Linked DNA regions of Styela clava. The protein of the gene in region 1 interacts with the protein of each later gene in a pairwise test. Links are inferred from orthologs where the notes say so. Each region holds a gene or a part of one and is shown on either strand. Other genes may lie near its edges.

Region 1 (7,139 bases):
GACTGGCAAATTAGACTGGCCGCTTTGAGGGGGTCTGCTTGTATGAGAGATCGGCTTATATGCGGGGATATATGGTATTAAAATGGAGACCATCCTGTCTTCTTACACACTTCTGAATTTAAATATTTTCGCCTGATAATTTAAAAAGCATAGTTGTTATTTTCTTGGGTTTGCATCACTTATGATTAGTTGTAAATGTCTGAGCATATATGTTTAAAATATGTCTTTGTCATATTAAAGAAAGTTGCTGTGAAATTTCCATTATTTTCTAGAAAAATGTCATAATTTGGAGTTGTCATTTTAAAATGGAATTTAAATCAAATTCCTTATGCAAGTTTTGTCGGCTATGTGTGCTTTTATTAACTGCATGGCCATTTTTTTTTTTTGAATGCTTGCTTACGATTGCTTTTCACTTATGAAATGATGCTTTTAACACTATCATTGTTTGTACACACATGTGGGTCTTTGTAAAATTTTCTCCCCAGATAGTCTTCCTACTAAATCTGCTCAGCAGTTCAAATCGAAATCAAGTTACTAAGACATTGTATCAAGTAGCATTTTGTTGACTTGAAAATTCATAAACAACTTTTTATGATTACTTTTGAATTATAAACTATCATGAACATCATTTCATTGCTGTTTTGTGTAGCAAATGACAACAATTTAATAATTTTCACCCTATTCTTTTACTTCTAATGCACAATGCTTTGCTTTCAATTTATTTTTTCAATTATTAAATCACTATTCAATTGATTTCATCTGTAATGGTATGTAGTACATCAATCGATTTCATATAAACTTTTTCTATTTCATTCACATTTCTGTAATCTTTTAATTAATAAACACAATTGAACTATTTTATAAAGATAAGATTAAGTTAATTATACGTTAATGTATTCAATTTAACATGCATGTTAATAGGTTACCAAGAGAGAATTATAATACTGCAGGATCCCATACAAATCATGCTATTTCAAATAGGAATTTATATCTTCAAATATCATTTTGGACATTTTTATCAAATTTTTAAAATCAGATTATTGATTCTTGTCATCCGATAAATAAGTATATGTGTGATTAAGGACAGTTGATAGATTCACATTTAAACTGTATATACTTCTATTAACTATTTATTGTTCAAAGTTATTTTCTAATTTTTAAACTTGTGTGTCGCGGGCCAAATCTTTCAAGTTTCTATATGATTTTTGAACTAAAAATGTTACAAGCTCTTTAGAATGAGCTGAAGTGGTGCTGTAATTTAGTTTTTTGCTTTTTTTATTTACTTATATTTGAGCTTTTAGTTATAAATATACAATGGAAGGTAATTTTGTATCTTAAGCTTTAGATTTTGAGGTTTGAAATAGAATAAACCCCTGCTTGGCTGGCAAGCGCCTAAACTTGAAAAAAAAATAAGGTCACAAACCATTGAAACTCCAAATTCAATGTTTAAAAGTTTAAGCCATCTTTTTGAAAAACTTCTTGTTGAATTAGTCCTAAAAAATGCTTTCTATATTTTAGTGGATAGTGCTTTTTACTTTTTAGTTGTTCCTTTTATAGTAGAAGTGCTTTTTCTCCTTCGTCATGATATCATTTTGGTACGTCATCATCTGGTATCTGGTGTGAAATAAAAGGTTTTGCTAGATACCTATGTGCGTGTTTTTGTACATTTTTGAGTTATTTGTTATCCTAGATTTGTTAAAAAATGTCCCATACATTCCCCGACAAGATTTCAATGCACTAAAAAGGTAAGGTTCGTCTTTTTGATTAGATCCCTGGGTCTCGCTGCTCGATAACCAGCTTTGGTTTCTCGCGGCTTCTCTCCTAGTATTTTGTGTAAAACTTAACTTTCTTACTGGTTGTAAAAAATGAACTTGACTTGACTGTGGAAGAACCATTTACGACGTCGGAATTTGCTAAACATGTAAGAAATGTCCTCATTGTTCGAGTTTTTTTACATGCTGGTTTCGAACTTGAGATGTTTTCAAGTACAACAACCATCAACGTGTTTTATTATAAACCTGTATTCGGCTGCATTGTAATCCGCTATTACATGAGAATAATGCTCTTGAATTAGGTGCATGTCTGGTGAGTCAATACCAGATTGTAATAATAACCAAGTATTATCAACGATAAATTTTTTTTTACCTGTGCTGAAAATTAAAAAAAAAAAAACATAAGTAATGAAATGAATATAACCAGTGGTGGGATTTAGCCGGTTCGCACGGGTTCTATAGAACCGTCTCACGGAATTTTATGAGATCAGCGAACCGGCTAGCATTACTGGTTACTGTCAATGTTCTGTTTGTGTCAGAACCGGCTGAAAAATATGACTTTTGTGAAGGAACCGGCTGACAAAAAAATTTGAATCCCACCACTGATTATAACCCTCGTGATGTTCTGCGTCTCCTACTAATATGCACGGTGATACTGTTAAGTTTATCAAGTCTCCTTGTGGTTTTTTTCAACGTCCGGATTCCGATTTGTTTGCTGCCTAATGTACACGGGTTTAAAAATGTATTTATTCGTATCGTACAAATGAACAGTTCAAAGTTGTATCCAAGTAATACTGTGCTCGAGTCGATTTCTTATTGATAACTTTATCCCCATTTCGTTTTTCTTTGTCTGAATTGATGGTCATTTTATAAAAAAAAAATACGGTTCTTCTCAGCTTAGTCTTCAGCCTACCCACTTTCTGTTGTTGCCTGATTTTGACTCCCAGCAACAAACAGAAAGAAATCAGAATTCACAAGCACATAATCGATGAATCGTTACCAAATTTTGTGCGTTTATTGTTTTATGTATGTGTTTTTCGGCCGAATCAAAACAAACTTAGCCTACTTAATACTAACTTGCTCGTCATAATTCTACAATATCTTATGTATATCGCTTTTCCTCCCTGTTTAAGTTGAATACTTATTAAGCGCGACAGGAAATCTTAATTGTTCTGTCAAAACAATATGTTTTGTCCTCGGTCTATGAGCCTGTGACTCGGATGACTCACAACAGCTAATAGTTAGAGAGAGGGAGAAAATATGCAACTCAATTCGGTATAGACTGGAGGGAGCGATACGACCAGGTCATCAAAGTCAGCTCCCCCAAAAATCAACAATGAGATTCACAGTTAATGTATATAAACCATGCATCATCTGATCCGTTTGACACACAAAATATTTAGTTTCAATATATACGTTGACAATAAGACACAAATTCAAAGATTCTGGGCGTTGATTCTTGAGAAAGAATAGTATATATATACAATATACGCGAATTGTTGAATTCGGGCGTTGAAGCTTGAAAAATAAAATACAAGTGCGTGACCTCAGGCTTTAAACTTGAAGAGTTGAAGTTGAGTTCTGGTCCAGATGCCTATCTTTGTGTCAAAATTCTGTTAATTGACTAATGAACTATCGCCGAACGCCTAAATAGCTCAGTAGTAGGAAAGCTTTAGTTTGCTTTCAACTTGCCTGACAACACCGAGTTTCTGAAAAGATCAGCGGACAAGCAAAACGCAACAAAATCTAAATAAAATAAATATTATGGATAAGAATGAGAAATGGGAATTCTAACAACAAATCGATACATGCGTATGTACAATTCGTGTCCAATAAATTTAAATTAAATAATTAATAACACTAACTTGAAATTGAAATCAAAAAAGCATGATAATCTTCTAGCGACTTTTGGTAAGTATAACAACAACAACAATCATCCCACCTTCAGCATCAACAAAAACATTTAGTGTCCAATAATGATATATAGGTGCAGCGTTGTTATTGGGTCACTCGACAAATAACAAAAACTGTAAATGAAAGTAATTTTTCCACGTTTTTTTCTTTTTGAGTGCCAGTCGTCATGGAATGTTATACAGAAATTGCGCATTTTCGGGAAAATACTACACCGAATTTTAATATGATAATATTTACGATGATGTATATGTGTACAACAATAAAAACTGTTTGAGCGCGTTTGTGATAAGAGTCAAATTGAAAGCAATGATATTCACCAATTGACGCGATATATCGTTTCAAGAACTCAACTCTCGCCTTCAAATTTAAAAAACAGCTGATGCTATGCATGATCAATCAAGCGTTATGTTATGTTTGGTATAAAAACGAAAAATTTCATCGATCGTCCCCATTTGCCTGTAACCGTCTGTGCGTTCGTGTGAGGTTCTGGAGGACTCTCTCGATGTATGTGTAATAAGTTAATACAGAAAGTAAACAAAAATGGTGTCTGGGACAGAAAAAGCAGATGCTGTTGAAAGAGATGAAGTGCACGGGGCAACAAATGGTTTTGCCTCCGCAACAGATGGATTGTGCAAAACGAATGACTCGTTGTGCAATGGCGTTTCTCCTTTCGTTTCTCTAAAAAACAAAATAAACAATCGTGTGCAATCAAAAGATCCATGGTTTTCACTGGAATTTTTTCCTCCACGAACAGAAAAGGGGGCTGCAAATCTTATTGGAAGGTATGCAATTAGGTTTAAGAATACTTATAAAATAAGTTTAGTTAACTCAAAGTGGTCAATATGGTTAGATATCTCATGCCCAAACTGTACAAATAAACGTATAAAAAACCGCAGGTTGCAACATGTTTAGCTATTCATAACTTATAAGTTATTCTAACTTTAGTATATTTTAAAATTAACCACTAGTATGAATTATTAAGAAATGACTGGTCTAGTGTTTTAGTATTTTTCACTTTCTCAAGGTAATTGAGAATGAATTTTACCAAAGTTGGGAATAATTTAGGAATCAAAGTAAAAAGTAGCTTAAGTAGTATAATGGAAATTGAGCTGCAAAACATATCTTTTTTTGCTTCAATTGCCAGTATATGAATGAATTTTTTTGCAAACATGAAATTGTGTCATCTTTTCATCAGGTTGGATCGTATGAGGGACGGAAATCCTTTATTTATTGACATAACTTGGCATCCTGCTGGCGACCCCGGTGGTGATAAAATAACATCCTCAACCAAAATTGCAGGGACAATTCTAAATTATTGTGGCATTGATACAATGCTACATATGACATGTTGCAATCAAACTAGAGAAACAATCATGAAAAATCTAGAAAAAACTAAATCATTGGGAATCAGAAGCATACTAGCCTTGAGAGGAGGTAGGAAAGAATATCACTTTTTATTATTGAAAACTCTATATTGAAACTAAACATTAAACTAAATATTTAAAAAAGTACACTAATTAATTAATTAAATATTTAATTGTTACTATTTCAGATTTCTATTTCAACAAATATAGGGTTCTCTGTTCTGTTTGATTGTGAAGTGTTCCATTGTAATATTGGCGCCTTTTCACTTGCTTTATTGATATCTTCATATATTGGAGTCATATTGGTATCGTGAATAAAAAATGGCATATATGATAGTATTTGTAAAGATACTTCTGAATTTTGTTCAAGTTGATGGGGTGTACTCATAAACAAAAGAATTTTTTTTAAATAATTTGATTTTAGATCCAACAGGCGACGAATGGGAAATGAATGAAAATGGGTTGAATTATAGTTCTGATTTAGTGGAACTTATCCGTCAAGAATATGAAGATTATTTCAGCATCTGTGTTGCAGGTAAGCGAAAATTGGAATTGAAAAATAAGTTCGCAGAACGTATTATATAGATTTTACCAAAGAGTTTATCTTCCGTAAGAGTTAATAGGTATATGAACTTACATGAAAATTTCCTAATATTACACTTTTTTTAATAGTTTATTGCATTATTAGTACTAAACCTATTTTACAGACAATAAACTTTTTTATTGATAATGATAAGCAAACTAGTGTATATTATTTATTTTGTTGAACGAAAGCACCAAAGGAAACTTGAACTTTTAACCCTTTGATGTTGTATTTTGAGAATAACATTGATCATTTTATTATATAATAACATTTTGTACATAATTGTGAAATAAAGTACGAAATATTGATTTTGGCTCAGAAGTAAACTTGTCTTGTGGCTTCCATTATCAAACAAGTATATTTGTCATTCAGGTTATCCTAAAGGTCATCCGGATTGTTCATCATATAAAGACGATTTAGTCAATCTCAAGAAAAAAGTAGATGCTGGTGCAGATTTTATTATAACTCAGTTATTTTTCCAAGCTGAGGAATTCTTAAAATTTCAGTCAGATTGCAGAAAAATTGGAATTCAATGTCCTATTATCCCTGGAATTTTTCCGATTCAGGTACCGCTAATTACGTTAAAGTTGAGTAGCATAGTTTACTCAGCACACACAGTGTGTTTGTTGAAAGATAAACAAATATTTGATATTATGCAACTTTGTTGTTTAACCACACAATTCTCCATGAATTTGAATGACATCATTTTTGTCAAGTATAATTCCTTTTTTGATTATAATATTTATCGATTATGTTTTTATTAAATATGTAGGTATATATGTAAATTTAAATAATGCTAGTCATGAAATATCTAATTTTTCCAAAACGAAATTTAAAAATTGGGAGTTTCTTTGTTTGTTTCTAGTTCAAACTTTTTTCAATTGTTTATTTGTAATTGAGTTTTGGATGACACTTGTCCAGATTATAATTGAACAACTAATCTATCAAAAAGCTAAAAAATCACTCCTATTTATGTTTCGCTGATTGATTAATTTTTGTCTGTTGGATATTGTTTTGGAACTTTAATTGATAAGGGAATGCACAACAGAAAGAGTTGCATCATTTTTTCACTAATTACACGTCATATAATGATTTCCGTGAATATGGTAATTTTGCTAAATTGCAAATCCAGCTGGTGATGCCATTATTGACAGGTTTAAAGACATTTAATTTAAATAAAGTGAATAATTTCAAAATGTGTATTATGTAAAGTAATTTTGAAAGGAATATTTTTTATGAAAACACATTATCAATTCACTTAGAAAAGTACTGGAAACAAATGTTAATCTTATCTTGGAATTTGTCGCCTCAGTAAAATGTACTTCTTAGTGCAAATGAATATGATTCATTTGCACTATCTGGCACAATATTTAACACTTTATGTATCGTTTTTGTTGTGCATCAGACGAACAGATCTCTTGTTCAACTGACAAAATTATCGAAACTTGAAGTCCCTGAGGATGTGCAGAAAATTATTGAACCAATAAAAGATAATGATGCAGCTAT
Region 2 (7,332 bases), on another chromosome or scaffold:
GCTAGTGTAGACAGTCTGTGCAACCGATATTGGAGTATTTTTCGAAAATTTTTTTATTATACCGAAAAAATAACTGGGGCATTGCCCCGGTTGGCCCTATTGACGCGCCGCCACTGTGTTTTATGATAGTGGTTTGCCTACGTACCGACTTACTAATATTTAATTTGATGACAGCACATTTGAACGTACGTACATTTGCACCCGTAAACTGCACCTAGGACATTCGCACCTGCATACTTTTGCACCACCGACATTTGCACCCAAACATTTCCATCCATAGATCGTAGCACCCACATGTGGATTGCACCCGCGAACATTTGAACCCATGTGTATTTGCACCCACGTACATTTGCACCCACGAACATTTCCACCCAGGTACATTTGCATCCATGAACTTTTGCACCCACGAACATTTGCACCCATGAACATTTGCACACTGGATATTTGCAACCGCGGACATTTGCACCCGCGTATATTTGCACCCACGTACATTTTCACCTATGTTCATTTGCACCCATGCACATATGCATCCACGAATTCTTGTACCCATGGCATTCTCACGCATATGCATGCGCCTCATAACAGTCATGTTCGCGATTAGACAAACTTTAATTGCCAAATATAAATATATTTGAAAAGAAGACGGATTACAAATTTTAAGTAGCCCTTATTCTTAGTGAGAGTCGCTACGTTTTTATTGTCATTGCGAGTTATAATCCTTTCCAATTGTTCATGGGTGCAAAAGTATGCAGGTGCGATTGTACGTGGGTTCAAAGATAATGACAAACCGTTTAATTTTATCTTCACGTTGCTGTCTTGCGATGTTGTTACACTTCGCTAATGAAGCTCTTATAACGACGTTCGAGGTTATATTCTCCCACGACAGATATATTTTTACTATTCCTTTAGTTTCTTACTTTTGAAGAGTAGACTCAGTCTCATTAACCCAAGATGCGATTCAAGATTGCTAGCAGCCAAAAGTATCTATTTTCATGCTTTTCTCACACAAAAGGGTCACCACTAGTGCAAAATTGTTGACAGAGTATAATAAGTATAAGTATATTTTGATTTTCCCGCAAAAGAATCATACAAAAAACACAAGCAATGAACACACAGAAGATTGGGAAAACTGGCAAAACCTTTATAAAGGTTTAATACATGCGCCAGTTTGCCCACGTTCAACACACAAACATATATTCAAAATAAAAAAGACAAAGGCCAGAACGGGTATCAGAGTGTATTGATTAAAGAAAGAACTGATATTTGCCACGATTTTTTGGATTGTGGTCTTGCATGTCAAAGCATATTTATTTGAAAATTTTGTAATAAGCCTTAGAACACCAATGCTGGAAACCAACTGCATGAAAGATTAATGAAAACATAATATAAATCAGCAATTCAGACAAATTAATCTCGATAGAATCATGGTAAATTAGACACCTGTGACATACTATAAATCAGCAATTCAGACAAATTAATCTCTATAGAATCATGGTAAATTAAACACATCAATAGATGGGGTAAATGTAGGACGGGCTGCAGAAAGCAACACTTTATCCTAAACATTTATTTTGAAAAGCCATCAGTTTACTTATTTTGTAAAGATTCTAAAAAATCATGACCTATTCAGTTCTGTGATTAGCCCCCTTCCAACGAAGGGGCGGGAATATATGCATTTTATAGTTTCGTACAAATGTGTGAACATAAAATACTGCAAGCACAAGCATTTGGGAGAAAATAGTCTCTGAAGCTCGAGTCACAGGTCATCACAGAGCCTTGATTCAAATTCCAGAGTTGCAGAAAATTTCAAAAATGTGGTCAGTCATAGTGGATTTCAAAACAAAACTGGAATGGATAAATATGAGTAATATTGACACTAAGATTTGTAACTTCCATTAAACCAACTTAATCATGTATTAACAAATCATGTATTGACAACTTTTATATCGGTATTCGGTGCTAAAAATAACTATTTCGAATTTGGTACTTTAATAAGATATTTCCAATGTAACATCTACAACACAGCAAATAGTGTTTCTGTTGAGACGAGTCAATTGTTTTAGATACGCAACACTGGTTTGTATGGCCATCACATTAATTTATGGAAATTTACCAATGTATATTACAACGAAAGCAAAAAATAATAATTGGCAGTTAAACGATAAAATAAAACGCTTCCTTATGAAATTTAAACATAAAATGATTTGTTGAAGAATAAACTTAGGTGTGCTACATAAACAAGTTATCAGAGGCTACATAAAAAAGTTATCAGACAATTTAAAGATCTGCGAGGCAGTATTGCACTTAGTTGCTTACAATAACAATTGAAGAAAATCTACACTGCAATGTTTAAAAGATAAAAATCACAACCCCACCAAAATAACATAGAAATGTCTGGTACCATACCAGAATACTCCAAATACACTTGCAATATTAGTTCTATATAGCATATTACACTAAGCAATGACACTGGCACTATAGAAGTGTTAGACTGAGGTTTAATACTGCTTCATAGGAATATCTGCTTCTGCCATGAATACAATTCTATTATTCCGAATATTTTTTCCCCTTTTAATACATTTGAGTCAGGAGCAATGTATTTTTTAATCCTCCATCCACATTATAACAATATCCACCCCCTTCAACCTTGTCTCGCCTACATGACGCTCTCCATAGGTTGAATTCGTGTTTTGTTGTTAGTCCTATATGACAAGTAACAATTCCAAAAAAGTGCAATACTTTGTGAATACAACATCCTGCGAATAGGACACAAAATTGGTAAGTTGAAAAATGAAAACAAGTCATGTAATAAAAATAGTAAATGAAATCTTACCTGTATTGGAAAGGAACAAATTGAAAATTCACTATTTGAGCTGGGATCCATATCTTAAAAATATAACCTTTTATTTACACAAAACAAAAACAATTCATGAGCTATGGATATTGTATATTTACCAGCCAATTAATCTTCAAAACATCAGGTAAATCATGTCTGATACGATGTTTCATAGCCTTCGTTCCTTGACCAAATAATATGGTTTGCAAAACAAGGAATCCGAAGAGGAGGGGTGGAGACATAATGAACTAAAATAAGATAAAACAGTTTAATTTATGAACTCAAATATCATATGTATAATAATATAAAGTGTATACCTGATCCAAAAAGACATTGACTCCTGTTGAATATCCACGCATACTCAGAAACACATACCACATTGAAACTAAAGGACCCTGAAGAAATTTTAATTAAATCAATAAAGAAATAGCATAAATATCTGTGACTTATATTAAATATATAATATGACTAATTATGAATATTCTCATGATTCAGTTCAATTTGCAAACTAAGATGTGCACGATTTAAAAATTGAAATTTGACATATAATGAAGTTAATCGACTTTGAATAATACATAACAATAATCTTACAAGATACATTAAAGCACATGCTGCCATGATGGTTGTTCGTCGAAGGTCACAACCTTTTTTTTGCTCAACTAGTTTTTGTGAGATGACATCAGCAAATGTTGTGAGGATACCTTATATATGATAAGTAAAGCAGCTTTAAAAATACAACTCTCATGCCTGCATGCTGAGTGCAATTCCATCACTGGCACAACTGAAGTTATGAGAAGAAACAAGGTGTTTAAAAGATCAACAATGAATATCCAATAACAAAAGAGAAAATATCAGTAGATCAAATGAGTAATATGCAATAATGAAAATATGACATCTCAATTCATTCAGACAATACACAGATACCTGGATACAGCGGTGCAATACTATGCAGATATGGATCATGCACATCTGAGAACAAGTTGAAATGGATGGCTGGATGGGAACTTTTCATTCATAAACCAATACCGGTAAATTGAACTGTCTATTCTATTTTCAGCATTATTTCAATATAAAGACTGAAAAAAGGAAACGTTTACCTGCTGTGCCTGTTTGAGTTAGTAAAGGTCGTTGTTCCACAAGTTCTCCATAGGCTTTTAATAACACGTCGACGGTGAGTGTATTCATATTTCCCAACCTACCGTACTGCAAAACTACACACACTGATGCAGCGTTGTTTGGAAGATACCCGTAACCAAAGTCACTTTGCCCGTAACCTCTTGACGAACACTGACGAACGCTGACTGAACACGAAGTGAAATATGAGAAACTTTACTTCCGCATCGTGTTTCACGAATATTGTTTTTTTTTTATATTTATGTTATTAATACTTTAATAAATTTTGAATGTCTTCTAAAAATATATATATACATATAAAACTATTGTTAATTATCTTTGGAAACTGGTTTTGCAAAATTTTCGTTACGGTTCACCGAGAGCAAAACTGCTGAGCAATACAAGATTTCATGAATCATCATTCATGCGACGAGTTCCAGATCAGCGGTAGCTACTATATTGCTTAGTTTTCGTTTATTGATTTATGCTGCTAGATTAGTTCTGTTAATCCAGTAATTGTTTAAATTTGCTAAAGATGGTAAGTTGTTAAGATTAGTTAAAGATCTATTTATGTAGTAACAACACGAGTGCCATTTTGATAGCAATACATCCAGACATCTGTAAATGCAGTTGGAAACTATGCTCTATTTATATTTATGTGTCAAATCTTTTCCAAATAATTGAATTGACTGAATCATTTTAACCAAAATATTTGATTAATTACCGTAAAAGCAGGTAACTTCGGATGATTTCACTATATTATGAACAATTTCTCCGCCGTTTATTGTTCAATTGAAGCCAAACTTGGAATATAATACATTGAAGCCTTTCTCCTCGCGATAAACTCGGTTTCATATCAATCAATACTTTTTTTCATTCAAATTATTGACTTTATTTGCCTGCCGATCTGTATTCCAAATGTTTATAACTTCGGATGGCCACTTTTCGCTTTGCGTCACTTCGTCGTGAGAGAGAAATGTCTGCGTGATCAGTGACGCGTGATAACGTCGCTGCGTAGAACTTACGACGCCGTGATTCGTTTTGCGTGGTGCACACTGACGTTCATCTATGACGGCCGTTTTTGTTATTATTAATTCTTCCGGGTCGGCGGACATCAAAGTTTTATATATCTGGTGTACCCGTGTGTTTACATCGGCAACAGCTCTTGAAGACAAGAAGGACTGATTTCAAAACCCAAATTAATTTTGTTCTGATTTAATCTTACGTGTTGGCTTTGATCTTACTTATCACCGTTTGTATACTATTAATCGTTCGAGTTTAAAGCGAACGGTGATATTATTATCGTCGCCGAGATGGAGATATTTATTAAGACGATGATTGATGTTGTTATGCTTTGCACCCGCGATTGTGCGAATACTGAATTTTTATTTATAATAATGATTGAATAAATCGGCCGTTATGCATTTATACTTGGCATAAGGCTTTTGGTCCTGATAGCGGGTCGGACACTAATTATAACTATTTCCCTCAAGTTTTAACTTTTTTTTTGAACAAAACAATACCCCAACGGTTATTATAGCTAAAACCGTTACCGACTAATTCACAATTTTATCTGCGGAATTTGCGAACTCAGCACTTTACTCGACGATTTTGACAGTGTCGCGCCATAATTATTACCGCTAAATGCTTCAAAATACAACGCATGTAATAATTTTGCCCAGCCCTATTCCTGACGTTTCGCAAAACTAAACCATTTATCTCTTGACTATTCTTAATTTCATGAAAGTGCTATATCTTGCTATTATGATCGTTTCAATACGAAACAAAAATGAGACAACATGGGACAAATGAAAATAAAAAACGGACGAATAAAATAAGTCGTAAAAGTAAAAATGGAAAACAATTTTTAATACAAAACAAAAATGAAACGAATGAAAATAATAAAATAGAAAAATGGATGATGAATTACGGTAGGTAGTAAAAGTAAAAAAAATGGAAGTGGACAACAATATGGAACAGTGTAGCTTGTGGCCGTGTTGATAATTCAGATATAATGTATTCACAGGCAGATAGACATGAAACGGATAAAAACGCCAAAAACCTCCAATCTCCTGCTGTGTGCACCTGTGCAGAGTTTCATGCTCACCTGTGCAACATTCTACTCTTAATATATTATCATCGCCGATCGTAAAACCTTGTCATTGTGATAGTATAGATACGCGTATCTGGCTGTTCATCAGCCTTACGTATCAACAACATCTACACGGTCGAAGAATGCCGAAATGTTAACACACAAATTTAATGTGCATTAATCGGATTCACAATAAATAAACAGCATATGACCGGGGCTATAATTAAGTTTTTGTAGGATTTGGTGACGAGGATCAGGTAGGAGTTTTCACTTTATATTTAACTACACGTGGCGCCACATAGTCTGGCGTTCAAATGTCGCAGCGAGTTACGCACGAGCTACGCAATGTGACGTCGGCCTTAAATGGAGCGAAATTGAATCACGTTGTTGACGTCACGTTCAGCGTAAGCACCGTAACGTCGATATTTTGACGAAATTTTTAAATCAAAATAATATATTTTACTTAAATCTCGTACGACATCTCGTGATCACTGTAATTTTCCTTGTACATTGTGTATGCCCTCTAGCGATTGACGGTCTTTTAGTGAAGTTAGCGTCGATAGAAGTCGCTATTTTAGCCGCTCAAAAGCGAGGTGTCAATTTTTGGCAAAAAGGTGATTTTTTGTGTCAAAAAATAAATCCTATTAGGCGACTGAATATGATAAGAGATTAAGATATATAAGGACTCTCTATAGAAACTGCCAGAAGCAGAATATGACGTAATTTAGTCGAGATATAAACGATTGAAAATTTCATCCGAAGTTATAAACCATCCGAAGTTACCTGCGTTTACGGTATGTACCTGTGATAAAGATATTTTTGAGGGAGTCTTCATAATATCGATAAAAATTTTCATGAAATAAGTTACGGACTTTGTAGTTTGATATTGATGTTTTATTAAAAATGAATAAAAAATTGCCTTGTACAGTAATAAGCCATTTTGATGCCAGTCACACATGCATTTTAAGCTGACATGTTCTCGTACAGCCGTATGAGCATCAAGTTTCCAAATTCATCATTACATTGTAGACTACAGTTGTATCGTATACCTGCTTATCGGTGATAACATATTATACCTATATTATTATTTTGTTTCATAAACACTGCAAACTCGCAATGCAAAATCTTTTTGTTTTAGTTTCGAAATCAATATGACAATGATGTGACAGTTTGGAGCCCACAGGGACGTATACACCAGATTGAGTATGCAATGGAAGCTGTGAAACAGGGATCTGCTACGGTGGGATTGAAGTCAAAAACACATGCAGTAATTGTTGCACTAAAGGTAATG

Evidence for each region.
Region 2: the proteins of methylenetetrahydrofolate reductase (NADPH)-like (region 1) and proteasome subunit alpha type-1-like interact in a two-hybrid assay, tested with the Caenorhabditis elegans proteins (3 studies listed by BioGRID). The link is inferred for Styela clava from reciprocal best matches to the Caenorhabditis elegans genes mthf-1 and pas-6.

The regions. Positions count from the first base shown.
Region 1 is NC_135253.1:4,400,240-4,407,378, forward strand, and holds the start of methylenetetrahydrofolate reductase (NADPH)-like, read left to right. Parts: upstream 1-4,121; 5' UTR 4,122-4,226; coding exon 4,227-4,468; intron 4,469-4,881; coding exon 4,882-5,120; intron 5,121-5,474; coding exon 5,475-5,585; intron 5,586-6,005; coding exon 6,006-6,199; intron 6,200-7,038; coding exon 7,039-7,139.
Region 2 is NC_135255.1:11,108,203-11,115,534, forward strand, and holds the start of proteasome subunit alpha type-1-like, read left to right. Parts: upstream 1-4,328; 5' UTR 4,329-4,484; coding exon 4,485-4,487; intron 4,488-7,179; coding exon 7,180-7,326; intron 7,327-7,332. Other genes in the region: mitochondrial inner membrane protein Mpv17-like, read right to left, coding at 2,657-2,756, 2,834-2,886, 2,956-3,084, 3,154-3,231, 3,428-3,537, 3,934-4,021. UniProt on the Caenorhabditis elegans protein: The proteasome is a multicatalytic proteinase complex which is characterized by its ability to cleave peptides with Arg, Phe, Tyr, Leu, and Glu adjacent to the leaving group at neutral or slightly basic pH.